3 linked regions of the Sus scrofa genome follow. Each later gene encodes a partner of the first gene's protein in a complex. Links are inferred from orthologs where the notes say so. Each region holds a gene or a part of one and is shown on either strand. Other genes may lie near its edges. The genes, in order: STX18, STX7 and BET1L.

The links.
Region 2: STX18 (region 1) and STX7 share a complex: the UniProt entries of both Homo sapiens proteins name them as parts of the SNARE complex. The link is inferred for Sus scrofa from reciprocal best matches to the Homo sapiens genes STX18 and STX7.
Region 3: STX18 (region 1) and BET1L share a complex: the UniProt entries of both Homo sapiens proteins name them as parts of the SNARE complex. The link is inferred for Sus scrofa from reciprocal best matches to the Homo sapiens genes STX18 and BET1L.

The regions. Positions count from the first base shown.
Region 1 is NC_010450.4:5,967,904-5,978,039, reverse strand, and holds part of STX18 (syntaxin-18), read right to left. Parts: intron 8,326-10,136; coding exon 8,210-8,325; intron 5,673-8,209; coding exon 5,595-5,672; intron 5,396-5,594; coding exon 5,329-5,395; intron 1-5,328. UniProt on the Homo sapiens protein: Syntaxin that may be involved in targeting and fusion of Golgi-derived retrograde transport vesicles with the ER.
Region 2 is NC_010443.5:31,223,470-31,233,605, reverse strand, and holds part of STX7 (syntaxin-7), read right to left. Parts: intron 7,986-10,136; coding exon 7,848-7,985; intron 7,113-7,847; coding exon 7,060-7,112; intron 6,255-7,059; coding exon 6,158-6,254; intron 5,308-6,157; coding exon 5,235-5,307; intron 1,096-5,234; coding exon 1,013-1,095; intron 1-1,012. UniProt on the Homo sapiens protein: May be involved in protein trafficking from the plasma membrane to the early endosome (EE) as well as in homotypic fusion of endocytic organelles. Mediates the endocytic trafficking from early endosomes to late endosomes and lysosomes.
Region 3 is NC_010444.4:24,224-34,941, reverse strand, and holds BET1L (BET1-like protein), read left to right. Parts: upstream 1-4,480; 5' UTR 4,481-4,835; coding exon 4,836-4,893; intron 4,894-5,584; coding exon 5,585-5,676; intron 5,677-5,915; coding exon 5,916-5,972; intron 5,973-6,095; coding exon 6,096-6,263; 3' UTR 6,264-6,283; exon of another isoform or gene 6,284-7,817; 3' UTR 7,818-8,467; downstream 8,468-10,718. Other genes in the region: RIC8A (synembryn-A), read right to left, coding at 372-522, 995-1,086, 1,565-2,155, 2,242-2,289, 2,565-2,648; ODF3 (outer dense fiber protein 3), read right to left, coding at 10,035-10,124, 10,469-10,609. UniProt on the Homo sapiens protein: Vesicle SNARE required for targeting and fusion of retrograde transport vesicles with the Golgi complex. Required for the integrity of the Golgi complex.

The sequences.
Region 1 (10,136 bases):
ACATTTAAAAAGAGAAAAACTGGAGTTACCGTCATGGCACAATGGAACCATGAGGTTGAGGGTTCAACCCCTGGCCTCACTCAGGGTGCTAAGGATCTGGCGTTGCCATGAGCTGTGGTGTAGGTCGCAGACGCAGCTTGGATCCTGTGTTGCTGTGGCTGTGGTGTAGGCCAGCAGCTGTAGCTCTGATTGGACCCCTAGCTTGGGAACCTCCATATGCTGCAGGTGCAGCCCTAAAAAGCAAAAAATAGAAAAAAAATAAATTAAAAAAATTAAAAAAAAATACAGAAACCATCTTCACTCAAGGGCTGTACAAAACAAGCCAAGGACTAGATCTGGCCCATAGAGAACAGTTTGCTGAACCCATTCCGGGGGTCAATGAGGCAAAATCACAGGTAGGAGAGATACGGAGAGGTTGGCAAAAGGGTACAAGCGTTCAGTTACGAGAGAAACAAAGTCCGAGGACCTCGTGTACGACATATGCCTATAGCTCGTAACCCCGTGTGGCCTAAGAGAAGTTCACTGAGAGAGAACCTAAATGTTCCCAACTAGATAAACACGGGGCGGAATGTTTAGCTCCATGGGCAGGAATCCTTTCACAATGCATACACATAGCAAGTCACTAAAAGGCCCCATTTCAATATTTTTAATTTTATAGGATTGTACTTCAATAAAACTGAAATTTTTTAGAAAGGACAAAGTCACTGCTATGGGCCTAGCGTCACGCCACTCACTTCCTGTTTTCTTCATCTTTATTGTCATTATCAAGCCCAGCACTGGCAAAGGGACAGAGTCCTACGGGTATGTGCAGGACACAGGGTAGGAGCTGTGGATCTAAAGAGCAAAAGACAAAATCCTGTAGTTCCATTGTGGCTCAGCGGTAGCAACCCCAACTCGTATCCACGGGGATGTGGGCTCGATCCCTGGCCTCGCTCAGTGGGTTAAGGATCCAGCGTTGCTGTGAGCTGTGGTGTAGATCGCAGATGCGGCTCAGATCCTCCGTGGCTGTGGCTGTGGTGTAGGCCGGCAGCTACAGCTCCAATTCCTAGCCTGGGAACCTCCATAGGCCGCGGGTGCAGTCCTAAAAAGCAAACAAAAAAAGACAAACTTCTTCCCCCAGCAAGCTTTAATCAAGTTAGAATGAGAGGACTGAATCAGAAGAAATAGGATGAGTCCGTTCTTTAGGTGTCAAATTAGTACGGTGAGAGCCTGTGTTGTAAAAATCACTTTTTTTCTTTTCCTTTTTTTAAAGGAGGAAAGGTGGAATGCAACAAAATTTTTGTTTTCTGTAACCAAGCAAAGGGAGCAACTAATAAATACCTCAGGGTCACACACCTGGCCATGGGACCAGGCACTATTTCTCCACTGGGTCTGCCCGGTGTGTCAAGAGCGAAGGGCTCCGTGGTGAGCGGGGCTCTCTCGAAGGAAGATGCCGTCGAGGCAGAGGGTCAGAGGAAGACTCCGAGAACTCCGTACACTGAGGGTTTCCCACACCTGTCTGGCTACGGAATCGGTTTACCAAGTAACACTTATCATATTTAGGTCTCAGGATTTCCTCAGACTATCTCAGGAAATTCTCACATTATCCTGCAGGACTAACACTGGGATGTGATAATATTCTGATGATGAACTTCAGGCTACAGTGAGAAACCCAGAAGGTACAGGGAACTTGTCCAGTCCTCCTAAGCGCTGCTCCACAACCTACGCAGTTAGAAGGAACGACGCCTCGCGGACGCAGTCAGGTTTCTCCTTCTCAAATCTCGCTGGAGGCAGGAAGAGCCTCAGAGCGTCCCACTCCGAGACCCTCCCTGTAGGAGGGGAAGCGAGATCTCAAATGACAGCCCGACCCAGGGCGCTGTGAAGACAGCCTGGGTGGAGCCAGGGCCAGATGGCCCCCCAGTGGGTAGGAGGGAAACAGCAGTTGGAAGACAAAGGCCTACTTGCTAAGTCTGGATCTGTTCCTGGACTTGCGTACCGTTTGCTGTGCCTCCACAGAGATAATGCTTGAAGCTAGTGGCAAAGAACATCAGAGGCTAGTTTTAATTTCCAGACTGCCACGTGAAAGCTCTCCCCAGGAAAAAGAGAGGCAATGACACACAAGGCGATTACTTTCTGGAAAGGAGAAATGTTTCTGATGGTTTCAATTAGACTATATACCCAGGAGGGCATCTCTTGGCTATTTCAACTTAAATCATAAGCAAAATATTAGTGCTTTAGGGAGATGAGGGCGGTAATGAGATGACCGGTCACTGTGCCAATGGTGCGTCTACACTGCCCACGACCCTTTCAGTTTATAAGCTCTCATTATGTAGACCTGAGGAGCCACGAATGCAGGACTGCGTTCCTTTCCTTCCTTCATTCAAGAACCATTAGTTGAGCACCTACTTTGAGCCAGGTTCCGATCAAGGCCCTGGGAGCAGAGAGATAAAAGACACAACGGTCCCTGTCTTCAACAGACTCTCGGTCTCATAGCAGGAGGAAGGACAGAGACGAGACCCCAACAAAAGTGACCACCATCCCGAGCTCAAGGCAACTAACAGCAGGTGCCACTGTCGACTCAGATAGTACAGCGCCTAGAGGATGGGTGAAAAGAGTCACATTTAGCAACAGTCCCGTCCTTCTATGAAAACAGTCATGGAGGGAAAAATCCAGAAGAATCCGTTGAGACGACTTCTGCCTTAACGGGCAAGACCTTCTCAGCTAGTTTGGAATAAGAACCCTTTGGCAGGAGAGGTTGGTGTGATATCGCCATTCCATGAAGATGAATGCAGCCGAGAATACCTTTCCTCTTAGGACTGTCAAACATTTAAAATAAAAACAATCAGCCTGCCCCTTTGTTAACACATATGCTTTTCTTTTACCAAGAACAAAACAAGTAGCAACAATGCCATAAAAGGTGAGACCTTGGGTTTCTCAATTTTTTTTTTTTTTTTTTTTTTTTGTCTTTTGCCATTTCTTGGGCCGCTTCCACGGCATATGGAGGTTCCCAGGCTAGGGGTCGAATCGGAGCTGTAGCCGCCGGCCTACACCACAGCCACAGCAACGCGGGATCCGAGCCACGTCTGCAACCTACACCACAGCTCACGGCAACGCCGGATCCTTAACCCACTGAGCAAGGCCAGGGATCCAACCCGCAACCTCATGGTTCTTAGTCGCATTCGTTAACCACTGAGCCATGACGGGAACTCCCTCAAGTCTATTTTATAAGAATGATTTTTAACAATAACCATTACCAATCAAAACAAAGAACCCACCAGTCTAACACGACAGTGAAAAAATTTAGAGCCAAATAACTTGTCATTCACTCCTTCATGCACACATGCATCCCACAGTCCTCCCTGAGCAGCTTCTGCAGGCTGGAGCAGGTATTGTGCTGCACAGAGGGCTGAGGGGCGTACTAGCAGCCAGCTTCTAAGCGTAGAAGTGCCACACCTGCTCATGACAATGCACAAGGAGCCACAGACAGGAACCACGAACACTCCTGCAGAAACTGGGAAAGTCCTTAAAGAGCAGGTGGCATCTTAACTGGGGCTGGAAGCATAAAGAGGAGTTTGCCACGTGAACGGGCGAGAGGGGGCGGAGAATCTAAGTATACATGTGAAGACATTCTGAACAGAGAAACCGGCAAGGATTAAGGCCTAAGAACTTCAGAGAACAAGGCCTCTTCAGAACACAAAGTAGTCAGGTATGGCCGGACCGTAAATCCACAGAGACCAACTACGAAACAAACAGCTATGGGTCCAGAGTGTCCGCTATGAAGCTTGGCCTCGGTAAGACACTGGAGCAAGGGAGAGATAAAATGATACGTGTGTCTTAGGTGGGTGCCTTCCGGGGCAAGGACGCCGAAGAACTAGAAGGGAGGCTGGACTGCCCTGGACTAGAAGGGCCTTACGTCCCTCAAGGCCCTTCGCTAAGGTACTTGGCACAGGGCAGCTATCTGACAGGAGACGAGGCTGAACCTCACTGCCTGAAGGAGAACGATTCCCATCAGACTGATCGCAATTCGTCCAAACCTCTGCTGAGCACCAGGCCCTGAGAAGGCAGCAGAAAGGCCCTTCTTGCTTTACTCGAGGCCCCTGTTCAGTCTCCAGGGCCAGGGTCCAGCCGGGATAAGGCAGCTGCCTCTGGAGAGCGTGAGATCCAGCGACCACCCAGCCTCTTGATGGTGAAGCCCACAGCACAGAGCCTCCGCTTTCTTGGGCCAAGGCTCTGCCTGCACTCCTGCCCGAGCCTGGGTGCTGCTTCCTCTCTAGTCACTTACCTGGATTACTTTCTTTCAACAGCCAGCACAAAGCCCACTGTCTGAGAAGCCTGTCCTGGTTAACCACATTCAACTCTCAGTTCAGCCGTGGAGGCAGGCAAGTGACCTAAATTCCCTGAGCCTCTATAAAATGGGATACTGATAAGTCTCTTTTTCTCTTTCAGCCGAGCGGGACGATATGCTGAGCCCCAGAGGCACCCCCCTAGGCTGAGCGTGGTGTTGGGGAGCCGGCCACAGTAAGAATGAAGCAAACCTGGCCTAAAGGAGCGTGTAATGTCACCCTCTGAAAGAACACCCCGAAATCTTGCCAAAGCTAGCAGAGCCGTGAGCAAGAGCTGGAGCCGGGCCCTAGCACCCGTCTTCCTTCGGGAACCCAGTTGCAGGCTGGCTGAGCTGCCGCAAGGGAGGCTTCTCAGAGGACCCTGTCCTGTGCTCTAGACACCGGCGCTCAGGAAATGCAGAGGATGGCTCTGCTACTGCCTGGCCGTGTGGCCTGGTGCCAGTCATTTAACCTGCGGCAGCTCTGGTGTCCTCGCCTGCAAAGCGGGTTTGTGACAGCGCCCACACTAAACAGGCGTGGGGCTCCACAGGCATCGCAAGGGAGCTGTGTGTGCCCATGACCCAAGGCCTCCCTGCGCTCCAGCTCGTCCCTCAGGGGCGGTGAGGAGGGGTGTGGGGGTCAGAGGGTCCGCGGTGAGACCGTTAAACCCGTGCCAGGCGCACAAGGTTATTTAATTGGACGGGATGAGTGAGAGCATGAATTCTGGACCAAAGGCGTGGGCTCAGATCCCAATTCTGCCGCCTCCTGGCTGTGGGCCTTGGCGAGCTGCCCGAGGTCCCGCCTGAGGGTCGAGGGAGACAACCGTCCTGCCTCGTGGGCTACCGGGAGCTGGGCCGTGCCTCGCAGGGGCCCGGCACACACGGAGGGGGCTCCTCGAGCACCGGCCCCGGCCTTTCACGAGCAAGTCCAAGCGGGGCAGGCTGTAAAGCCTCGGGCTCTAGAAACTTTCGTTGCTGTATTATGGCCACTGTCATGAATGAGGCGCATCCGCAGAGGCGATACTTACAGTCTTTTCTTGTCCACCACTCGCTTAACTCGGATGGCTCTCTGTTCGGAGTAGAGCTTACAGACTCCTGTCCAGGGGAAAACACCAGACCAGACACCATTAGAAACTGCTGCTCAGGCAAAGGAATCATTAAACCCAGTGAGACCCAACACCTAAAGCTATCGCCAGCAAAGCTAATGCTGGGCCCCCTCTAGTGTGAAACGCTACATCTGACCTTTAAGGTAAAACGAAATACTTAAAAGAGAGAGAGAGGGAAATGGAGATACTTTTTAAGTAATCTTCGATGAAGTCCAGAACGGCACTCCTGTGCTCCTTCACTTGCTGGGAAGGCACCTCCTTGTGGGCTGCAACGGAAGGAGAGTGTTCAGGGCTTCGTACCAGTCACCCTGCAGAACAATCATCAGCGGCCTCACAGCCGTTTCTTTATGAGACGTAGTCTTAAAAATACAGCTACAAAACTAGTCTTGCGTCAAATGACATTGCATTAAGATTTATTAGGCTTTGCAGGAGTAAAAGATTAAATCTGCAGGAAAACCACAGTCGAGGAATTCGGGGTGGATGACAGCACGGCGGGACCGTATCTGAGGCGGCCCGCTCCCTAGGTGCCGACCCCGTTTCTGCTGACAGCCTCCGAGGCTCAGGCTGACCTTCGAATCAAACTCAAAGCACAGCCGCCCTGCCTGCCTGTCTGGGCTCTCTTTCAGTTTGGAACCTTCTGGCCTCTCCTCTCAGCCACTCATTCCCTTAGACATCGAGTCAAACCTCCTTCTCCAGAAAACCTTGACTCCCGAGCTGTGAGGACGCCTTTTTGGGGTTGTTGTTGTTGTCTTTTTAGGGCCAAACCTATGGCATATGGAGGTTCCCAGGCTAGGCATCGAATCAGAGCTGTAGCTGCCGGTCTCCACCACAGCCACAGCAATGCCAGATCTGAGCCATGTCTGCGACCGACACCACAGCTCTCGGCAATGCCGGACCTTAACCCACTGAGCAGGGCCAGGGCTGGAACCTGAGTCCCTGAATGCTAGTGGATACCAGTCTGGTTCGTTGCCACTGAGCCACGGCGGGAACTCCAGGGACGCCTTTCTTCTGTGAACCATCACCTCTTCCTAGAACCCGAGCTGGTTATTGGTAGGACAGCTCACATTTACGAGACTGAAACCCACCGTGTGCAGGCTGCTGGTACTTTACAGAAATTATTGCTAGTGATCCAAATAATCCAAAAGGCAATTATGATTATGCCTGTTTTACTCACAGAGATGCTAAGGTTCAGAGTCAACAAGTGGCCCAAGGTCACAGGGTTTGGTACTGAATTCCTCGTTGGATTAAATGTTCATGTATTTACTAGGTCATCTCAATGAATGTCTTTAAGGGCAAAGAGCACGATTTTTTTTAAAAGAATTATAGTTGATTTACAAAGTTGTGCCAATTTCTGCTGTGCAGCAAAGGGACTCCATCATACACGTATATACATTCTTTTTATTAAAAAAATATGGAACACTTCAGTAACTTGCATGTCACCCTTGGGCAGAGGCCGTGCCAGTCGTCTCTGTGTCGTTCCAATTTTAGCATATGTGCTGCCAAATGGAGCACTGACTCACTTTCACCACAGGGCTGCTGAACCCGAGATGCAGGGGAGGAATTCAGCAGACCTATGAAATTATACACAGAATTGTGTGTGTATGTACATTCTTCGGGCAGGAGCTTTCATCAGACTCTTCAGGTGGTCCATCAGGGTCCTAATGGAAGCTTCCCAAACAGACATCTGTGTCAAGCACAGCAGCATCTGGCCACCTGAACTCAATGCTATGTTAACACAATCTGTGTCTGTCTGAGCACATTAAAAAAGAAGCCAGGAGTTCTCGTCGTGGCGCAGTGGTTAACGAATCCGACTAGGAACCATGAGGTTGTGGGTTCGGTCCCTGCCCTTGCTCAGTGGGTTAACGATCTGGCGTTGCTGTGAGCTGTGGTGTAGGTTGCAGACGCGGCTCGGATCCTGCATTGCTGTGGCTCTGGCGTAGGCCGGTGGCTACAGCTCCGATTCGACCCCAGCCTGGGAACCTCCATATGCTGCGGGAGCGGCCCAAAGAAATAGCAAAAAGACAAAAAAAAAAAAGAAGCCAGATGTGGCTCGGATTCCGAGTTGCTGTGGCTACGGCCAGCAGCTGTAGCTCCAATTCGACCCCTAGCCTGGGAACTTCCACATGCCACAAGAGCGGCCCTAAAAAACAAAACAAAACAAAACAAAGAAGCGGCAGCAAGGAAGATGCATAACTATCTCAGTGCCTTAACAAGAATTACACAGCAGGGCAAGTGAAGGGATGAGAATAACCCTCATCCTAGCCGTGGTTCTAGGGTCCTGGGAATGCAGTTCTCATAACAACCCTCTGAGATAACCACAGCACTGGCTCCATTTCAGAGACGAAGAGACTGAGACTCAGGGGTGGTTAAGTGACTTGCCAAGGCCATGTGGTCAGAGAGGGTGGAGCCAGGCTGGGCACACAAGTGGTTGACTCGCCAACTGTGACACTCAAAGCAGAGAGCACCTTCCTGCGTCCTCCTCATGCACCTTCAACCGCTGACCCCGTCGGGGCACCCAGGGCGCAGGCAGGCCTGCCCACGCTTCCACCCCATCCACCCTCTCCGCCCCTGGCCCCTTGGGAAACTTTTGGTTCTGTCAGGAGAGGTCCTTGCTATTTAACTCGAATCACGGCCTCTTCACTACTTTTAACAGCTCAGGTTACAACACCAGTCAGGGAGAGAAGACTTCCGCGGTTCTGAAACCCAGCTCTCTAAGGACACCGAGGAGCTTCCCGGCTGTGCCGTATGCATCCCGTGGGTGCTTCATGGAGTTGGGGCTGTGCCTGCGTCTCGGGGCACTGACCTTGGGCTCGCAGCTGCTGGATGGCCTCTGAGCAGGTCCTCATGAACGTCTGAGCATCCTGGTCTATCTGGTCTCGCTCCGTGTCCGTCATTCGCCCGTATTCAGACATGGTGTGGCTACAGCGAGAGAGAGGGGGCAAAAGCGAAAGGCAGTGGCAATGACCGCACGTGGAGCCAGGCGGGGGGCGGGGTGAGGGAAGAACCAACCTGTCTGCTGAAGGGACCGTTACGTGGGGACTTGAGGAGGAGGAGGAACTGGCGGGCTAGGAGGGGGGCGAACACTCTAGACAGTGGGACCACCGCCTACGAAGGCCGCCAGGTAGAACACACTGCCTGCAGACCACACTGGGGCAGGCCAGGCCGCAGGGACCGAGGCGGGCGTGGAGAGGAGGCAGGGCCCGAGCACACAGGCCTTGTGAAGGGTGTGGGCTCTGACTTTGAGGACAACGGGGTCCCCCAGCACACCGACTGAAGCCCGGGCGGGCTGCACAGAGGATGCTGGTCCATCCAGGCTGCCACCTGCCCACGTTGACAAGCAGTCCTCAAAACCCACAATGCAAGAGCTTTTAGACCCAGGTCATCTCCCCTGATACGAAGTTAAAAACTCAAGTCACTGGACCAGTAAGGGTGTTCACTATCAGTAACGCTGCACCCGAAGCTCCAGGTGTGGCAGTTTTATCACCTCGCTCATCTTTGTAAGATGCGGGCTGGTGCGGCAGCGTTACCATTAACAGTGCTCAGACACTCTGGATGCTCGGGCTGGAATGAAGAACCACAAAACACCGAGGTAAAAGCAACCGGAGATAATCATTCCATCTTCCCTGCCAGCCCCACTAGCCACCCAATCTCATTCCGACTGAGAATAAAACACAAAGTCCTGGAGTTCCCGTTGGGGCTCAGCAGTAACAAGCCCAACTAGGATCCATGAGGAGTGGGTTCGACCCCTGGCCTCACTCAGTAGGTTAAGGATCCGACATTGCCATGCGCCGTGGTGTAGGTCACAGGCACGGCTTGGATCCTGTGTTGCTGTGGGGTAGGCCAGCAGCTCTAGGTAGCTCTGATTCGATCCTTAGCCTGGGAACTTTCACATGCCATGGGTGTGGACCTAAAAAGCAAAAAACAAAACAGAAGAAACAAAGTCCTGATATTCCCACCCCCAGCAGTGAGCACACTTCTCCCTCTCGCCCTCCATCACTGCACTCCAGTCGCACGGGCCTCCCTGCTCCCCACCATCCGCACAGCCTCCCGCAGCCTGGATCCTCACCCCCAGATGCCCACCCAGTCCCTGCCGTGCAGCTCCGCTCAGAGCCACCTCCCCAGCGCCCTCAGCGAAGGCCCGTGCTGCACGGGGACGCAGCGGCTCTTGCGCTGCGGCCGCCCTCTGCACTCTGCTCCGTGAGGCCCGGGCCCGAGCTCGCCTCTCCTCCCACCGGCTCCGACTGCCCGGCACTTGCAGATGCTCTGGATCATGAACGCCCGACTCCTCCCAGGAGAAGGCAGCTTCGTGGGAGCAGGACTCTGCCTCCTTCATTTCTGTCGCCCGATCCCCTCACATGCCGTCCCACACTCAGTAGGTGTGCTAACGGCAGCTGAGCACTTAGCACGTGCCAGACACTATTCTCAGGGCCTCATATGTATTTTATCTCCTTGTTAATCCTGGTGACACACTCATTCGCTCACTTGTTTACTAATCCCCACATGTCAGGCGCTGCGGCAGGGTTGGGAGCTCAAAGTAGGCAAGGCTCATTCTGGCCCCACAGAGGGTACCACGCACAGACCAGGGGGCACGGGGTCCGGAAAGCGAACGTGGGACCCAAGGAGGGAGGGGTCGGTTCGGGCAGGGGAGGTGCTGCACAGGGGACAGCGGGAGAAGACCTGCAAGCCCCACGGTGGGTGGCAGCCAGAATGACCAGAGAACGTGTGACCTG
Region 2 (10,136 bases), on another chromosome or scaffold:
GCCTTATCTTTGTTGAACAACAAAGATTTATAATATTAAAAGATACATCAATATTAAAGTATTAATGGTCCTAATATTTGTAGTCCTCCATACATATTTATATAATGACTCAGGACATATGGATTCCCTATACTAACCTGATTCACTCAAGAAATCAGTTCATTCCTGGTGGAGGCGCTGCTGAATGCTGACAGAACACCTAACGGTCAAGAACATTCCAAGCTAATACAATTTCCACAGGACCTAAAGAGGTCTTTTTGGACAAGGATCTTTGCCTCTTTAGTCCAGAGTATCAGTGACATAAAAGAAAGAAAAGGCAGAAGGGAACACAGTCAATGGAGACGAATCGCAATCAAAGACATTTCTGGGTTGGAATGTCAAAATGACTGCGGAGACCAGCAGCTGTCAGAAAAGACTGGAGTTGTCTACTGTTCCCCTCAACACTAAACACTAAACTTCCTACCCCTGTGTGTCAGAGGACTGGTTCGGCCCCAAGAATAGACGGACTAAACCCAGTTTTAAACTGATGGGTGGAGTTCCCGTCATGGTGCAGAGGAAACAAATCCGACTTGGAACAAGGAGTTTGCAGGTTTGATCCCTGGCCTCACTCAGTGGGTTAAGGATCTGGCGTTGCCGTGAGCTGTGGTGTAGGTTGCAGATGTGGCTCAGATCCTATGTTGCTGTGGCTCTGGCGTAGGCCGGTGGCTACAGCTCCACTTCGACCCCTAGCCTGGGAACCTCCATATGCTACATGGGTGCGGTCCTAAAAAGCCTTAAAAATATATATATATAAAATGAAAAAAAAAAGATGGGCATATTTCTGACCTGTCTTCCACGGGATTTTAAATATTAACATTTCAGCTACTTTAAACTTTTTTTTTTTAGATTTTTATTTTTTCTATTATAGTTGACATAGCCACTTTGAACTTGATTACACACACACACACCTACAGAGAGACAGACACAACTAAAAAGTTGAAATTATGAGACAATTTAGCATAGTCAATATTACCTGATAATCTGCTGCCCTTGACAGCTGCTGGTTCGCCTGCTGAACGTGCACCTCTGAGCTTTCCACATTGGCTTCTATGCTATCTTTAAAATAAAACACACAACTGTTGAGCAGGTGCTGATGCTCCAGTAATAGAGCTGCACAAAGCACTAGATTTCATTTAAGGTAAGATTAAACACGTGCAGTCAAAGGTTACTATTATTAAGAATACGGGCAAAGTTGAATATTTTTCTTTTTAGGTATACTATTTTTCAGGTGATCCAAACAAAACATAAAAATTTGAAGGAAAAAATCCCAATCATCTTCATTACAACATACTCTAGTTCTATGTGGTTATTGCACAAAGTGCTGTCACAGAGTTGCATTCTGTGATGGCCAACTCAGGACCACGCAGGCATCTGAACTTTCATTTAGAGTAAATATAGAGAATCCAAACCCATCATTTGCTTGGTGGCCATCATCAACGTTCTCTGTGCTGAGATCTAGCTTCCCTGAGGAGCCCTGCAGCCTTCTCGAGGGGTGACGGTTTTCCTTTCCACCCTCCTCTGACCTGGGGGGCAAGAGGTGTCAATCCGCAGGATGGGTGACCACCGTATCCTCCTCCCTGCCAGCTTTCAGTTCTATAACTCATGCTGTCCCACTCAGCCAACCCTTCTTGCTGCAGACATCATAGAGCTCAACGTCTTTTCTTCTCACTTCCAGAATATTTCACCCCCTGAACCACTGATGTTTTCTTCACTGCTCCTCCTAGTACATGTTTGGCAATTTCAATATCCAATGGCTGACCTTCCTATTCCTTGGCCTCTCAGTTCCCTTATTTTTTTTTTTTTTTCCTGTCTTTTTAGGTCCGTACACGTGGCATATAGAGGTTCCCAGGCTAGGGATTGAATCAGAACTATAGCTGCCGGCCTGCGCCACAGCCACAGCAATGCCAGATCCGAGCCTCGTCTTCGACCTACACCACAGCTCACAGCAACGCCAGATCCTTGACCCACTGAGCGAGGCCAGGGGCTAAACCTGCATCCTCAAGGATACTAGTAGGATTCGTTACCACTGAACCACGAGGGGAACTCTCTCTCATTTTCTTGAGCACATGTTTTTCAAAGACTTTGCCTGTGACCCTTTCTCAGCCACCCACTTCCATGATCACATCCCAAACCCATCATTACCCATCACTGCAGCTTCTTCGTAATCTCCATTCAGGTCTCACTCTCCGAGCCCCACCTGCTATCTTCAGAGCTCTCTCCTTCTGAGACCCCGACTTGAGTGATCCCACCACTCTTCCCTACCTCTCACACACTTCATGTCCTCACTCCCCTTCTCTAGCTTAGACTCCATGGACAATCAGGTGTCACTGTTTTCTTGTATTTACCTTCATCCCCCTTGTCCCTACTTAATCACACTTATGTGACAAAACCCTAACCTGTCCCATGCAGCAGCTGAGCATTAAGTGCAAAAAGGGATCACCTGTGCTGACTTATTTCACATTAAATTCTGGACTGCAAAGCATGCCTGCCTCACTCTCCCAGTTCCTCAAAGACCAAGTCATCCTTTCTCCTCTGTCCTCTAACTTCTCCTGCCTCTTTGCGCACCATCATTCTCCACCAGGGACCCCGATTTCTGGATCGCTGAGACAGCAGGGACAATCAGAAGACATCTCCACATGCTCCCCCGACCCTTGCCAGGGCAACACGCCGCAACATCTGTACTCAGACTTCTGGTTCATGATTAGGGGGGATCCAGCCAAGCTCCAGCAAGAGCCGACCCCTCCCTGGGTGCCCTTTATCTCATTCTTGTCACTAACTCAAAGACCTTGCTCTATCATCCCCACTTTTTTCCCATCAATCTTCCTGCTGCCATCTTAAAACAAACCCAAAAGCCTCTCATTTATTCCACATCCACTGCAGCTATGACCGCACTTGATTCCCAGGAAGGATTGTGTACACTTGCCATCTCATCACCTCCTCGCAGTGCCTCCTAAACCTATTTTACCATGCTCTCTCCCACGCCATTTCACCAACACAGCTCTCCTCCGAGGTCCCCTAGGCCCTACATATTGTTAAACTCAACAGTCAACTCTTAATTCTCAGTTTACTTTATCTAGCAGCAGCATCTGAAACAGCTGACTAGCCATCGCTCTTGAAATGCTTTTTCTACTTCATTCCAAAACAATACACTCACTTGGTTTTCTTCTGCATCACCGACTAGTCTTTCTTAGTTATTTTTAATGGTTCCCCCTTGGCTCTCTGGGCTCTAAATCAGGAACCAACAAACCTTTTTTATGTGCCAGATACTAAATATTTTAAGCTTCTTGGTTCTTTCATATGATTTGTCATAAATATATAGTCAACTATGCCTCTGCTGCATGAAGCTGCTGAAGGTAACATGTGAAGAGAAGGATGTAGTGTGCTGACTGCTCTAAATATCTGTGAGTCCCCCTCCTCCTCCTCTCCTCTCTACCACACTTTCTTCCTAGGTGATCTCATCTAATCACACAGTTCTAAATACCATCTATGTGCAGATGACTCCCAGGTGTCACCCCCAAATCCTGTGTTCTCTACCAACGCCTGTCAAACCTTCACCTGGGTGACAACTGGCACCTCAAACCTTACTGTATCCAAAAATTACTGATTTATATCCACCTAAACCTGCTCCAGCTACAGATTTCCCCATCTTGAAAAATGGCACCACCATCGTGACCTGGGCCGAAACCTTAGAGTCACCTTGAATTAACTCTCTCTCACCCCTATCAGACAGTCAGTAGATCTTTTTGGCTCTACATCCAAAAAAAAAAAAAATATCCAGAATCCTGTTGCTTCTTACCACTTGACTGTTTCCATCCTGATCCAAGGCAACACAGCTGCTCACCTGGATTCCTGCAGGAACCTTTTAAGCGGTTTGTTTTTGGTTGTCCCTTTGCAGTCTGTTCTCGACCCAGCAAAGTGAGCCTCTTAAAGCCTATGTCAGATGACAGCCCTCCTCTGCTCGTACGCTCTCGTGGCTTCCCCTCTATTAGTAACAGCGACAGTCCTCATGATGCTCGGGGTCCTACAAGATGCTGTCCCCTGTGACTTCTGACATGGTCTCCATCTCCCCCTGCTCATTCCATTCACCTCAGGTGACAGGTATGCTTCTGCCCAGAGGCCTTTGTACCTGCTGTTTCCTCTGCCTGGCATACGTTCTCTTGCTTGCTCCCTTACCTCCGTGAATTCTTCACTATTATGTCACCTATCAGTGAGGCCTAATATGACTCCCCTATGAAAAGCAGCACATTCCCCACCACCCAGAGTCCCATCCCCCACCTGGCCTTATTTTCCTTGTAACACTTATCACCCTTTACTTACTTTTCTTTTTTTTAAAATTGTCTCTCACCTCCAACTAGATTTTAAGATTGTTTATATGTCGTTTAATTTTAACTGAATCCCCAGTGTCTAGAATTATGCCTGATATAGCAGGCATTCTATAAATACATACAATGATTTGGGAAATTTTACCCTGTGATCTACTGGGGATACAGAGGAGGGTAAGATTGGACTGATAATAATTACATTAAACTGTAGATACAAGTATTTTTAACTGAACCAAAATTCAGAAAATACATTAAATCTATCTTTAGCAATACCCTCTAATATTTTTGTATTTCAAAATAATAAAAATGATCAGAATCCTGATCAATGTTGACAACTACACCTTTAATGAATTATGATTACACTTAATAGAAGTCTTAGTCACTGATTTTTCTTTAAAAAATTCTCAGTATCTAAGTAATACTACTAAATTAATCTACCAAAAAAGCTATGAGGATAAAGGATCATGCAAACGGCCACCTATTCCTATTCCCTCTATTCTAAAAGACAGGTAGCAAAGACAATTATGAATAGAAGTTTCCCCTAAAGTCCTTGGTGTGATGAGAATTAAACTGGGATAAGGCAGAAACCAGAGGTCCTGGAAACAAGCTAGAATGCTGCTACATAGCACCTTCCATAAGCTCAGCAGCAGCAGACCCTAATTAAATTTGGGACTTCTTAAATAAATGCAGCTGGTCATTTCAACCAGTAGGAGCCAAAAACAAGATGTGTCTTAGATACTGCCAAGGATGATGTTTTGTCTGTTGGAGGACCGAAAGAGAGAGAGGAAGGAGTTACTCTGGCTTGAGAAGCTGCAGCAGGTAAACGGCATGGAGCTTGCTTCCACCTCACGAAATATAATGAGCAGAGCTTACCTATTACATCTCCTTGTTCATGAATCATCATCCCCAAGTCTTTAAATATTTCATTAATATCCATAATATCAGCCTAAGAGAAAAAAGTGTACTTTGTTATCAGAAATTCAGTCTCCAATCCACAAAAGGGGAACATTTTTTAAAAACCCAAGCCACCACTCATACCCAGGTGAGAATGCATCTAGACTTAATAACACACAGGAAACTATTTTACTATAAGCAATCCCAGGTAAGCAGACTTTGAATAACAGTAACTAGTTCTCTAAAATAAGATTGTGATGTTAAAAATATCAAGCCACATGGGACAGAAGTGAAGGATCTAGCTAATAGAGAAGGGCTGTGGGTTGCTGAATATATGTCAACTCAAAGAGACAGTTAACATAAAGAATTTATCACACAGTGCTTGGCACATGGAAGCCCTCAATAAATGGTAGGCTATTATTAGCCCATTTTCTAGGGAAAAAGTTCTCTAAGAACTATGGCTACTGAACCCTTTAGACCTCTTTGATATCCTGCACATACTAAAAAGAAATAAAATACTTTTAAAGCCCTTGGAAAAAGTCTTATTCATGCAGGTGTGACGTGTATCATATGGCACAGGAGCCATTCAGACCCTTTAAGCAAACATTTATCTCTAGATGATATTTTCTCAACGCTCAGGAGCCTTCAGATGACCTAACAGAATTAAAAAAGAAAAAAAAAAAAAGCTGGAGTGGAAGGAAATACATTATCTCATCCTAGGAGAAATTCTAAAGCATCACTAGTTTTTTAAAAAAAGAAATTATTCTAATTTATATAAAAAGTGCCACCAAAATGATGGATTTCTTTAGTTATCTTTTTTGATCTCACTCCTAGCATCATCTAAGCATTTTCAGGACAAACTCACTAAGAACAGAGCAGCAGTCCAACTTTATAAAGCTTACTTCAAGTTGCCTAATAGAAGACTCTCGCTCATGAATAAGGCGAAGGTCATCCTCTGTAATTTCTTCATCCTGCACTTGCACTTGAGGCTGAGTTTGGCTGTTAAAAAACAAAACAATAAGTAAAAAAGAAGAACCAGTTAAAACAATGGGGCTTTCTTCTTATTTAAGAAATACGTATTGAATTTTTTTCTTCAAAAACATAAAATTAGGAGTTCCTGTCATGGCACAAAAGAAACGAATCCGACTAGGAACCATGAGGTTGTGGATTCGATCCCTGGCCTTGCTCAGTGGGTTAAAGATCCGGCATTGCGGTGAACTGTGGTGTAGGTCGCAGACAAGGCTTGGATCTGGAGTTGCTATGGCTGTGGTGTAGGCCGGCAGCTGTAGCTCCGATTAGACCCCTAGCCTGGGAACCTCCATATGCCGTGGGTGCGGCACTAAAATGCAAAAATAAATAAATAAAAAACAAAATTACTCACTTAAATTCTAAAAATAGGATAAAAATGTTAACCAAATTTTATTCATCTGTCATTTCACTGATATTATTTTTCAGTTATTATTTAACTTTTTGGAAGCTATTATATTTGGCAGGTGAGTATTTCTCCTTGGTTGACTTAATCCTCACACATGGGAATAATCTATATTAAATAATAATTAAGTCAATGTTTATTTGGATAATTATTTTAAAAGTATTGCTACATTGGAAATTTTTATGTTTACATATTTTATAATAAATAATTATTCTGAAAAATTTTCAAATTTATTATTTATTTTTTATTCATAAATAACTTTGGATAGTCATGGCATAATATACTGAAAGCTTTAATTCTGCCCAGGAACCATGATGTAAGAAAATGTATTTCAAAAATTACCCTTTGATCTGCATGTTTTATACTTCTTACCTTTCCCAGGATACAAGATTTCTTTCTTTTGAGGTCTCCTCAGGAAAACCACCCTAAATAATATAATAACAAAATGGATTAAGAAGGTGCACAGGAAAAACACACACCACTCACATTTTATTTTATAATAATCTAAACTGATTTACATCTACAAGGGAGTTCTTGTTCTAATATTGTAGGTCAATTACTTTAGGTAATAACAAAATTATATCATAACCTGATAAGCAAAGAATTCATTAAATATTCTCAAGTGCTAAATAATAATTATTATTCGATTAAAATGTAAAGTAGTCTTGGAACCTCTATATTAAGGAACAATATACTCGTGATAGTTTCCAGGGGAGATATATAATTAGATTAAGTTAGAATTCCACTCTAACTTATCCTTTCATTTATTTTCTCCAGGTATATATTTTCAATAATTATATGTATATTCACTCTGTTCACGTCCATCATCTTCACATAACCTAGGAGGAAAGACTTCTCTACACCAGCATGAACACGAAGTAACAGCCTCATGTTCAAATTAGGATCAGACCCCTAATCTTTTCTGACAAAATGTTTATTTTTACATAATCTGTAATCTTTTGTTTGACACAGAATAACCAGAGTAATACACCATTATCATACTTCTTAAAAATTAAGCAGAAACACCTGAAATTAAATATTTCAATACTGATCTCTAAGACTTTCACAGGTCTTTATGACTCAAGAAACACCCATGTAGTCTCTTAAGATATTTTAGAGAATACTGTGTTCCTTTTTACAATGCCATTTTAAATACTTACAGAAACTCTGGAACTGGCTCTTACTCGAGCAACAAATTCTTTCTCTTTCTCAGCAGCTTGCCTCTGCACCTTCTGAAAGTTTGTCAGTGACGTTGTGAATTCAGCCACTAAGCGGTCTTTCTGTATTTTCCTTTGACGCTAGAGGAAAGGGGGATTTAAAAAAAAAAACAAAAAACAAAAAACACCTGATAGAATCAAGCTGTGAAATTCTACAGCATGTGCAAAAGTTGTTGGCTCTTTATTTAATTCTGAAAATTTAATTTTCAGACTAAACTTTCAAGACTAAACCAAGATGAAATAGAAAAGATGAATGGACCAATCACAAGAACTGAAATTGAAACTGTGATTAAAAAACTTCCAACAAACAAAAGTCCAGGACCAGATGGCTTCACAGGCAAATTCTATCAAACATTTAGAGAAGAGCTAACACCTATCCTTCTGAAACTATTTCAAAACATTGCAGAGGAAGGGATACTCCCAAACTCATTCTATGAGGCCACCATCATCCTGATACCAAAACCAGACAAAGATACCTCAAAAAAAGAAAACTACAGGCCTATTTCACTGATGAACATTGATGCAAAAATCCTCAACAAAATCCTAGCAAACCGCATCCAACAGTACATTAAAAAGATTATACATCATGATCAAGTGGGATTTATCCCAGGGATGCAAGGGTTCTTCAATATCCGCAAATCCATCAGTGTGATACACCACACTAACAAACCGAAGAATAAAAACCATATGATCCTCTCGATAGACACGGAAAAAGGCTTTGACAAAATCCAACACCCATTTCTGATAAAAACCCTTCAGAAAGTGGGCATAGCGGGAACCTACCTCAACATGATAAAGGCCATATATGACAAACCCATGGCAAACATCCTTCTCAACAGTGAAAAGCTGAAAGAATTCCCTCTGAGATCAGGAACAAGACAAGGATGTCCACTCTCGCCACTACTCTTCAACAAAGTTTTGGAAGTCCTAGCCAGAGCATCAGAGAAGTAAAAGAAATAAAAGGAATCCAAATTGGAAAGGAAGAAGTAAAACTATCACTATTTGCAGATGACATGATACTATACCTAGAGAATCCCAAAGACTCTACCAGAAAACTGTTAGAGCTCATCCACGAATCTGGCAAAGTCGCAGGATACAAAATTAATACACAGAAATCGATGGCATTTCTATACACTAACAATGAAAGAGCAGAAAAAGAAATTAGGGACACCATCTTGTTTACTATCACATCCAAAAGAATCAAATACCTAGGAGTAAACCTACCTAAAGGGACAAAAGACCTGTACTCTGAAAACTATAAGATACTGATGAAAGAAATCAAAGATGACACAAATAGATGGAAAGACATACCATGCTCTTGGAAGAGTTAATATTATCAAAATGACTATACTACCTAAGGCAATATACAGAGTCAATGCAATCCCTATCAAATTACCAAGGACATTTTTCAAAGAACTCGAAAAAAATATTTTAAAGTTTGGAAGCACAAAAGACCCAGAATAGCCAAAGACATCCCGAAACAGAAAAATGGAGTTGGAGGAATCAGGTTCCTGGACTTCAGACTATACTACAAAGCAACAATCATCAAAACTGTATGGTATTGGCACAAAGACAGACATATACATCAGTGGAAGAGGACAGAAAGCCCAGAATTAAACCCACGCACCTACAGTCAACTAATCTATGACAAAGGAGGCAAGAATATACAATGGAGAAAGGACAACTTGTTCAATAAGTGGTGCTGGGAAAACTGAACAGCCACATGGAAAAGAATGAAATTAGAACACTCCCTAACACCACACACAAAAATAAACTCAAAATGGATTAAAGACCTAGATATGAGACCAGACACCATAAAACTCTTAAACCATAGGCCAAACACTCTCTGACATAAACGACAGCAACATCTTCTCAGATCCACCTCTTAGAGTATTGACAAAAAAACCAAAAATAAACCAATGGGACCTACTCAAACTTCAAAGTTTCTGCACAGCAAAGGAAACCCTAAACAAAATGAAAAGACAACCCACAGAATGGGAGAAAATCTTTGCAAGTGAATCAACTGACAAGGGATTAGTCTCCAAAATTTATAAACAACTTCTGCAGCTCCATACCAAAAAAAACCAAACAACCCCATCAAAAAATGGGCAGAAGATCTAAACAGACAATTCTCCAAAGAAGACATAACAGATGGCCAAAAAACACATGAAAAGATGTTCATCATCACTCATTATTAGAGAAAAACAAATCAAAACCACTCTGAGGTACCAC
Region 3 (10,718 bases), on another chromosome or scaffold:
CTTTAGAGAGACCAAAGGACAGCCGCTGCTCATCACCAAGAGCTGCTTGTGTAGAGCGACACTGCGAGTCTAGCATCACAAGCAGGGACCAGCGGCTTCTTGGTCCCCCTCAAGAAGATCCACAAAGAGACCTAAAAACAAATACTTTGCTAGTCTCTGAAAACCTGCTTCTGTTTGTATCAAAAAGTCTGCCTACATTTCAAGGAGGACATTCTGGCTTCCTGCCTGGCTGGACCTTGGAGCAGCTGGAGGCATTGCCTGAATCCCACTGGGGAGCTGATCTCCCCTTACCAGTGCAGACTGCACAAAAGCAGCGCCCACAGCTGCCTGGGAAAGCCTGGGCCAGAGCCATAGCAGGGCCTCCTGCCCACCTGGTGCAGACGCTTCTCCAGGAAACTGAGGAGGGCATGAATCACATCCATGTTCACTCCCAGGAACTCCAGGGAGCCTTCGTGTGGCTCCAGGGTGAGAAGGACATCCAGACACTTGAGGGGCAAGTTCCCCAGGAGGTTCACTGTGTGGCTGGGGACACATGGAAAGGAGGGCTGGGTAAACCCAGGCCCCCAGCACAGGCGCAACTCTTGTTGCCCCCTGCTGGGATCACACATGACCCGAACCAGTATCAGGGGCCTGAGTAGCACCAAGTACCAGAGCAGAGGGAGGCCCTCCTTGCAGACATCCCACCTCCCACACACCTGGGTCGAAACAACAGGTAGTCCAAATTGGGACCCGCCCAGGCATAGGTCACAGAAAATGAAAGTGACAACCACACTGCTCTATGGATACCACAGTGTTCAAGGTCCAGTGGCACATTCTGTCCTGAGCTCACAATTCTTGTCCTAGCTGTGTGTTCTAAGTGCTGCAGCTCTGTGGAAACACACCAATGCCTGGTCCCACCCAGTTGGATGAAAACTCTCTCTTTAGGGCTGGAAACCACCATATAGACCTGAGAGCAGACGCCCGCCCCGGTGTGCCCAACAGGCACCACCCTCACCCGTGGAACTCCTCTGTGCGGTCTCCAGCAGCAGTGACCATCACACAGTGCCGCAGCAGGGTCCCCAGGTGCCGGTAAAGTGCAGTGTCTTCCTGACCAAAGAGAAAGGGGTGCCTGTGAGAGAAAGTGCCACTCACCCCCACTGCTGCCTGCTGAACATCTACTGCCTGGCCCACGGCCAGACCTCATGCAGGCCATGCATCTCCTCCACCACACCTGGCTGCTCAGCCTCACTTATGTGACCTTAAGAGCACTCTCGTGGTTAGGGACATCAACAGGTCCCTTTGGGATGAAGTCACTCTGTGCTCTCGCCCCCCGCCCCCCGAAGAATCTCCTACAGCCTGCCCCCACACCACACAGCACTCCTGGTGTTGCAAGAGCCAGATACGCGCTCTGATTCCTCGATGCCCTTATACGGAACGGGCACCTCCCTGCCTCCTCCTGACAAGCGCTGCTGTGCAGATGTCCTCCTGGTCCGACACCCAGAAACTTGAGGGTACCTGGCAGAGAGGCAGGTCCCGGAAGCATCCTAGTTGTTAAGCCCAACCGAAGGCTGAGGCCAGCCCTCACCTCATCCACCTCCCTCTTGATGGAGTCGAAGGTGATGTTGAAAAGCACTTTGAGGATCTCCATGGCCCGTTCGGTCTCCTGGGAAGGAAGGAGTTCCGGGGGTCCCTCTCCAGGGGTCATTCCCAGCGTCAGCTCCAGTGCCTCGGTCAGCAGGTGCACTCCCTGCAGCTCCTCAAACAGCTGCCTGCGCACATCAGTGCGAAGCGCCGTTAGCAAGAAGAGGAGGCGCAAGTCAAAGAACTGGACGTCATGCGGGAAGCTGCTCTGGCGGTACAGTCTCACTCGCTCTGCGAGCCTCACCACTAGCCCCGCCTCTGCGGCGAGCACCTGTGCCACGGAGCTGCTCAGCACGAGGTTGCACAGGCACTTAAGGGACTCGAGCACAACATCCATGTCCAGAGTCTCAGGACACGACCCCTTCGAAGCAGAGATGCCAGCATAGCAGGCAAGCGCTTGCAGGCTCTGGCGGCTGGTGAACGAGTCCAGGCAGCTGCGGTCCCTCGACAGGATGCGGATGCTCTGCAGCCAGATGACTCGGCGGGAAGGTGACAAGCCCTGCTCCAGGACTGAGACCAGCAGCTCCGCCAGTCTCTGTGGGCAGGGGAATAGAGCGGTTCCATCAGGCTCCTCTACCTGGGCCACCCGTCCCTGCCCCTTTACCCTTGATAAGCACCCACCTTCCTGTCCTCCTGTTGGGCATCGTCAAACGTGAAGCTCTGGGAGTTCTGCAAACAGACCCAGAAGATTAGGAGGCACAGGTCCACCGAAGCAGAATCCGAGCTCCAAGGCCGCAGACACCGCTCTCAATAGACAGGGCTCCCTTTCCCCACGGCACCCCCAGCAACTCTTCAAAGACTCGGTGCCCCTCCCCGCCGTGCTCGCCAACACCCTCAGCCTTCCGCCACGCTCACCACTCACACCCTCCCCGCCGGCCACGCGCGCGGGACCCACCCAGCCCCACCTCCTCCCTGCGCGTCCCACGTCCATAGCTCCCGCTCACCTCCCGGTTGTAGGCGCGCAGAGCCTCCATAACCACGTCCTCCTCCCCCGTCTCTATAGCATCCACTACCGCCCGAGGCTCCATGGCGCTCCCGGGACCCCGGCCCGAGGAAGCGGAAGGTACCTCGCTCCAAGGCTCTGGGCCCCAGACGGCCCGCCCGGCCCTAGCTCGGCGCGCGGGGGAGGCCGGGAAGGGGCGTGCGCGGCGCCGCGCGGGCGGGGGCCCGGGCTGCGCGCGGCGCCGCGCGGGGCGGGGGCCCGGGCTGCGCGCGGCGCCGCGCGGGGCGGGGGCCCGGGCTGCGCGCGGCGCCGCGCGGGGCGGGGGCCCGGGCTGCGCGCGGCGCCGCGCGGGGCGGGGGCCCGGGCTGCGCGCGGCGCCGCGCGGGGCGGGGGCCCGGGCTGCGCGCGCCTTAAAGTGGAGAGGCCTAGAAGAGCCCTCGGGAATTTAAAGGCTTTGATGTCTAGTCACGTTGCCTTTCAGTGTCCGACTCAGTGGTTATCCGACCACGGGCCTGAATCGCTCCGGCTCCGAGCAGTGAATTCCCTACGGGAGAGGGCCTTAGCTTCTCACCCCGCTATTACACGCACACTACACCCCTCTTGATGTACAGAACGAATGAGATGTTCCGAGGAAAGACGAAGTGGAAAGGACTTTGCAGCCCCGGGACCACTTTGTTTATTAAGCAGGCGTTTGAGGGCCTACAGCATGCAAGGAACCAGGATGTGGGTGAACAGAACCCACAGGTCCTTGCCTTCGTGGAGCTTATATTGCAGAGGTGAAAACAAAAACGGGAAAACGGGAAGACTTTAAGCAGTCATAGTGCTGTGATTGAAAAAGGGGCCTGATGGGCTCCAAGGGGATTTGAATAAGTGTCGCTTTTGCTGAGACCAGAGGAAGAAGTGAGCCAGGAAGGGATGTGGGGGAAGTTCATTCAAGGCCGAAGGAGCCGGCAGAGTAAAGGTGGGAATGGCCGTTGTAGGAGAAAGAGATCATTGTTGGGGCTGAGAGACAGGGGAGAGTGGGGAGGGAAGGTCCAGGTCAGGATGAAGGCAAAGCCTGATCATGTGCAGGGACTTCCTGGCTGTGTAAGCAGACACATCTTCTGGCCTGGACCCAGTTCCCTCTTTTGAAAAGCAGAGATGATAAAAGGTCCCATTTCGGTGGGTTGTCAGCACTAAACGACACAGAGTGAATGCTCCATTACAGTGGGTGAATAACATATACTCCACCCACTGCGCAACAAGCCTTTGTTGAGCATCTATTTTGTGCCAGACCCCTTGTCAGTGCCCGGGTGCAAGGTCGCAGCACCGGCTCCTCCTGCCCCTAACTCCCCTCACGCTCCCACTCTTCTTCCTGATTTCCCGTTTTCCTTCAAGTGCTTCATCCCTGAGATTTTTGCAGCGCTCGCTTGTTCCAGGCACTGATCCCCTCTTTATCCCGCCGGCAGCATCTGGAGCGTGCTTCACACCGAGTCCTCGCCTTAACCGCACCGCAGCCGGGCGGGCCTCGGACCCCGGGCCGTGTCGCCGCGAGGAGCCTCTCTCGCCTGAGAAAGGGCCGTGAGCTCTTTCCAGTTAGGATTTGACACCGCCTTCGGCAGGAATGGCCGCGGAATTGTCTGTCGGCACCATGATGCTATTAAAAACGATAACCTTCCAGCAGTCCCAGGAGCGAACCAGCGGCCCTGTTCACAAGGCAGGCGGTGGAGGAAACGTCAGTTCTTCTCCGTCCAGCCCGCTCGCCCGCTCGGCCGGAAGTTGGAGGGCCCCGGGCGGAAGGGGCGGGACGGGAAGTCCCTCCCCGACGGCTGCGCCACATCCCGGGAGGCTGTAGCTCTGCGGGTCCGTGCTGGGCGCGATGGCGGACTGGGCTCGGGGTGAGCATTGGGGAGCGGAGGCAGGTGGCGGCGGTGCTGGAACCGATGCCGCTGCCTGCAGGAGTCGCTTTCGCCCGCCCCCGCCTCTCTGGGTGGCTTTGGCCGGCAGACACTGAGAACAGGCGGAGCCAGGGCGGCGTGGGTGGGGCCCTCGGGCGGTCTTGCCCGGCTTCTCGGTGAAGCTGCGGGGTCCGGATGTCCGCTGTCCCCACCCCTTCCGCCCTCGTGAGACTGTTCTGCACGGGACCTCAGCCAGACGGGCTGGTCGACTGTTCCGGAGGCCAGCCCCAAGGAGTGAGGGCTGCGCGTGATGGCCCAAGAAGGCCTCGTACCGACTGGGGCTGGGAGTGGCCCACTTGCCCTCTGGGAACCCCTGTTCTTATCTGCGAAGTGGGATGCTGATGCTTGTTTCCGCTGGGCTTGCGGCATTTACAGATTTAATGGATGAAAGCGGTTGGTAGGATGCTAACATCTCGTGGCATCTTTACACATCCATGATTTCTAGGGTTGTGATCCTATTAGATGAGCCTCCCTGAGACATCTGGCCCACGGCAAATCTGGCCTGTGAACTTGGGGAGGCAGTTCTCATCTACTTGATAGGATGGTTATACCAAGTCAAGTCATAAGTCCCAGCCCCTGTCCTGGGCCAGGTCTCAGCAACCACTGCTCTGGGTGTTGTGTAAGGCTCTGTGTAGGATGCAGAGCTGAGCAGATCTATGCCCTGCTCGTGAGATCGACCTCCCCTTCTGTTCATGACTTTTTCCTAAGTCCTTGCCAGAGTTTACTGGTTTTCTCTGAGAACAGGTCCCCTCTACGTCGCTGGTGACATCTGGGCTGACATACCAGTCCATCCAGAGGGGATGGTACAGGTTTTGTCACAGAGTATCAGAAGGTGCTGCCCACCCATCCGGGCTTGGATGCCTACACAGAACAAGTGCTCTCGCACGCTGTCCTTCACGCGGCTGTCTCGTGTGTGAAGTTCACGCTTTGGACCCTGGGTTAGGGCAGGACCTGTTCAGCAGACACAGGAAAGCCCAGTCCCCCTGGACTAGATGGAATTGGAGTGAGAGCCCTGAGGGCAGAGGTCAAGAGGGTGCGCGTGGGTGGGTGCACACTCTCACCCCCTCTCTGTCTCTTCTCACAGCTCAGAGCCCCGGCGCTGTGGAGGAGATTCTAGACCGGGAGAACAAGCGGATGGCGGACACCTTGGCCTCCAAGGTCACCAGGCTCAAGTCGGTCAGTGGTGGTCCTCTCCTTTCACCTCCATCTGGCCTTCTGGAGGAGGGCGTCAGAGGGAGGGTGGAGGCCTGGAAGGGGTCCAGATAGTTCTCTCTTTGTCCCGTACATGGCAGCACTCACCTGTGCTGGCCCAGGTGACATTTGGATCTCCTGACCTCTGCTGATGCCGTGGGGGGTTAGGAACAGTCCGTTATTTTTGTCCTGGCCTGACCCTGTCCCCTCTGTGTCCTGAGCAGCTGGCCTTGGACATTGATAGGGATGTGGAGGACCAGAACCGGTACCTGGACGGCATGGTAAGGGTCTGCGGTGTTCTCGGCCCCACGTTACCTGCCCTGCAGGCACCCCCCCCCCCCCCCCCGCGTGTGTGTGCTGTGGAGTTGCTGCCCCGTGTGACAATGCTAGGATTCCTCCCTTAGGACTCGGATTTCACGAGTGTGACGGGCCTCCTCACGGGGAGTGTGAAGCGCTTTTCCACAATGGCGAGATCTGGGCGAGACAACCGGAAGCTTCTCTGTGGTGTGGCCATGGGCCTGATCGTGGTCTTCTTCATCCTCTCCTACCTCCTGTCAAGGGCAAGGACGTGAGCCAGTGGGAACTGGTTTCTGTAGGTACCTGGGACAACCAGGGTCTTCCTCTGCCTTGTGTCCTGGGCTCCAGAAGATCTACCTACAAAATACCCCTTCGAAGTGATGAGCATGGCTTAGGAATCTTTTTCCTGTGTGGCTGGGAGCCTCTGACCCAGTAAGCTCATGTTAGCTGGTCCCATGTGTGCAAGGGGCCCATCCCCATTGGGTAACCAAGGCCCAGCTTCCTCTGCCATCTTGGGTGCTAGAAGCCCTAGCAGAGCCAGGTTGGAGCAGAGCAGCTGGGAATCCTGGACGTGACCACCTGTGACCAGCAGCCCTTCCCCCAGCCCTCAGGGTTCTGATGTATTGAGGCTTCTCTGCTTGGTCTTGGTCTGGATAAGGCCACGTCTGGTATTCGAGGTGCCCAGAGCCGACACAGGAAGGGGTGCGACTGTGAACCTCGAATCATTGCTGTCACTTTCAGCCAAGGGTCCTCAAACCAGAGATGGCCGTTGCTCCTGGCCAGGGCTGCCGGGCACTGGTGGACCAGCAAGAGTCAAGGGTCCTGCCGAGAGGTGTCTGCCTGCCGTCCAACCCCATGGCTGGAGCCCGACCCTCAGGGAAGGGCAGTGGCCATGCGTGGAGAAGTGAACTGCAGCATTGGCTGAAGACGCGGGCCCAGGTCCTCCTGGTCTCCCTGTGTCCAGGAGCAGAAACTGACCTTTTCTCAGGATTCAGGGTCTGTCCAGCACCGAGACACGTTTCCAGGAGCCCAGATCTCTAGAAAGAGGCTCATCTGGCATGTCAGAGTCAGGCAGGGTGTGAGCAGGGGCCTCTGTGGGTACAGCCTGGAGGCTTCCAGGTAACAGCTTTTCATAGGATCTGTAGGTCGCTTTTTGAGGGTCCGCGGACAGTTTCCACCGAGTCTGGCCCTTCCACCTACAGTATCTGCCCATCTCTCCTTGGGCCCTCAGTGCCCACTGGTCAGTCTCCTGCTCACACAAGGTGAACTGCAGTTTCTTCCAAACCAATGGGTCTTTCTACCCCACTGTGAGATCTCAGTGTCTTCCCATGAAAACACCTGTAAGAAACGAGTCATCAGCTCTGTCCTTCCCGTCTTTTGTTCCAGTTCTCTGTCTTCCTGGTCACTCCCCTTCACTCTCTGAGGGCTACCGGCTCACCGGCCATCTTCACACATACACATGTGGTCATATGTCAGCCACAGCCTGTGCCTCTCAACTCCTGCCACCCCACCCTGCTCTGGTCTCTGGCCCTGGGCACCTCACCTTCTGGCCCTGCTGCTCCTGCTCCTCCTCTCTCTCTCCTTTGTTCTCCACCGAGCAGGCCTGGCTTGTCTCACACTCACCATAATGCCCTTCTCTTTTCCACTGCGCCTGGTTGGGCCTCAGCCTTCTGGAAGGGGAGCGTGCTACCTTCTCATTTCCGAGTGCTCTGTTCTTACTGCCTCCATCCCTCCAGTGTGTGCTTGTTTCTCACTCGGTGAGGTCCGCTTCCTTGCCTCCATGGCTTCGACTCAGCCGTCAGCTCATCTCATGTTGAAATTTGTCACAGGGACGTGCCTACTGTTCATGAAGCTCAGCAGCTGCTGCCGTGTCGTGTTTCCATCGGGTCACCACAGGCACGGCAGACACATCAGACCTGAGTGTGGCAGCCGCCTGTTCTGGGCCTGCTAACCTGGCTTCCTGAGAATATGGCTCAGCCATGGCTGTTGCTCCCCCCAGGATGCTCTTACCTGCTGTGCCCACTCGTCTTGCCAGTGCAGACCAGGAATTGAGGATTTGCCTTTCAGAATGACTGTCTCAAGAAGTGCTCTGCCCCCTCCGAGACCTCTGGTTGCTGTGTTCTCTCCTTGGGTCCCCACCTCTGCCTCCCCACTTCATTTCCATGGCTCTTGGCAGCTCTTCCAGCTATTTTGGGGTCTGGGTTTTTGTCTCTGTCTGGTTTACTTTTTTGTTGCATTAGGCTGAGTTCCTGAATGCTGCTGCCACCACGTCGGCAGGGTTTTCTGTGGGGCCTGCACCCTTCTGCTCAGCCCTGTGCACTCAGCACCTCCTCCTGTGGATAAGTGGGGTTTGCTAAGTGGCCCTTCAGACTAAAACAGAAGAGGCCTTGGAGTCCTCTGTGCCAAGGGAGGGCCCCAAGTCAAGGACAAGGCATTTGGTCATAAAAACTTGGAATAAACAGATTCTCGATTAAGTAAACACATAGTCTTTGGTGTTTGCATTTCCTTCAGGGCCTCCGAGAGTTTTGTCTGGAACTGACCTTGGTCCACAGCCTTGCCCTGGGCACGGTGGTCTCCACGTGGCTTCTTTCCCCTTCTCTCGGGCCCTGCTCCCGTCCTTACTCGTCCCCTGGGGCGGGGGGCGGGGGGGCAGGCGTGGACTCACTACGTCCTGCTGCTGGACCTTTTTCTCCCCAGGTTTCTGTGACTAAGTTGGGGAAGGTGGCGTCACTGCCTTTTCGTGACTAAAGTCCCACAGGGGCCACAGGGCCACCTGCCTAGCGCTGGTTTGAAGGTTGGAGTCCGTTGAGAGCTGGCCTCGGACTCCCGAGCATCCTCTGGAAATGCCCTTCATCCCAGCTCGTCACCCCTTCCTTGTCCATAGCCTCCTGTGCTTCACGTAGCATCTGATGTATAATGTCACTTTCAGATTTAGTCACTTGAAATTGCGGAAGTAAAATTTTTTTTGGTTTGTCTTTTTGGGGCCACACCTGTGGTACATTGGAAGTTCCCAGGCTCAGGGTTGAATCGGCTACAGCTGTGGGCCTACGCCACAGCAACGCCAGGTCCAAGCCGCGTCTGCAACCTACACCACAGCCCATGGCAACGCCGGATCCTTAATCCACGGAGCGAGGCCAGAGATGGAACTTGCATCCTCTTGGATGCTAGTCGGGTTTGTTAACCGTTGAGGCATGGCAGGAACCCCTGCAGCAGTGATTTATGTCTCATGGTCGCTGCTGGAGTTTGAGACAGGCTCAGTGGGGACAGTTGTCTCTGCTTTATGATGTTAAGGCTTCCTCTCAGAGGTGAGAGGCTGGTGCTGCCATCACGTGAAGGCTCAGTGACAGATCTGCAGGTCACCGCTGGGGTGAGCTGGGGGCCCAGCCATGTTCACTGTCTTATCATGTGTTCAGCTTCCTCACGACATGGTTCCTGGTGTGAAGGTGAGCAAAGAGAAGGGGGTACCCAGGTGGGAGCTCTGTGTGTGTCGCATGGCCTGGCCTCACGAGTCACGTTGCATCTCCATTTGGGATGGTCCCAGACGCTGTTCTAGATTCCAGGGGAGGGACTCTCAGCAGGGGAGAGAGAGCCACACTGGACATCACATGGGAGGGGACAGATAGAGCCACGTAGAGGGCAGGGCTCAAGGCAGAATCCTAAGGGCAGTGTCTGAGGCTCCTGAGCCCTCCACTCTTGTCAGAACCCAGGCCCTGGAAGCTAGGAGGGGCCGGACACGGGTCGGTGGTAGCCTATGGGGGCCCCTTTCTGGAAAATCTTGGTGATCCCCCAAGAGACACCCATTACTAATGGAATCAGATTTTATTACATATCCAGGCTCAGCAGGAAACAAGTTTAGCAAAAGGGAAGGTAGCATAGAAAAAATAACTGGTCACAACTGTCCAAACAAGTGTGCTCTGCCCTGCAGGGCCAGGCCAGCTGCAGCCCAGCTGGTGGAGGAGGCACCCAGAGCCCTCAGCCCCGGGAATCTGCTGTTGGGGGAACATGACATGCAGAGGCTCAGGGTGACTGGTGGAGCGGGGCCGGGACTATTCCACATCCACGACCAGGGGTGTCATGTAGTCAGAATGTTTGATGCCAAAGGTGACGATGGGGGCGCAGGGCTTGGTCACGGTCACCTGGGAGAGGAGAGGCTGTGAGGACCTGACACCCCCGTCCCCCTGCAGGCTCTGCCCTCACTGGGGCAGTACCTCCTAAGCCCTGGACCAAAGTGACCAGCAGGAAGTCCACACTGCCAGGCTTGACCACAGGGCTTGGTATGTGGTGAGCCCTCAGCAGCACTAGTCTTGGCGGACACTGGGGACAGGGGGCCCTGCCAGCTGAGGAAAGGGCTGCAGCTAGAATGCACAGTGTTCTGAGGGTGCCTGGACACCACGACCCTTGCCTGCTCACAGGCCCTTCCCCACACCACCCCCTCTGGGCCATGTCACCCCTACCCCACTCGGCCGTGCTCTTGCCAGACCTTTTCAGGGCTGTGGGCTCCTGGTCCTGGCTTGAGGGTCTTGTCGCCTGGGGGCTCCACCCGCGCAGCCATGGTGTACTGTGGAGCCTTGAATTTAGTCACCTGGACATCGGTCTGACGGTAGGCTGCAGGACCTGGGGTCTGGGAGGTGAAAGAGGCTCAGATAGGCTTGGCCTGCCAGGGCGTGGGAACACAGAGGGCAGGAGCCAGCATCAGACCGTGGCTTTCAGGCGCCAAGCACTGTGTGTCT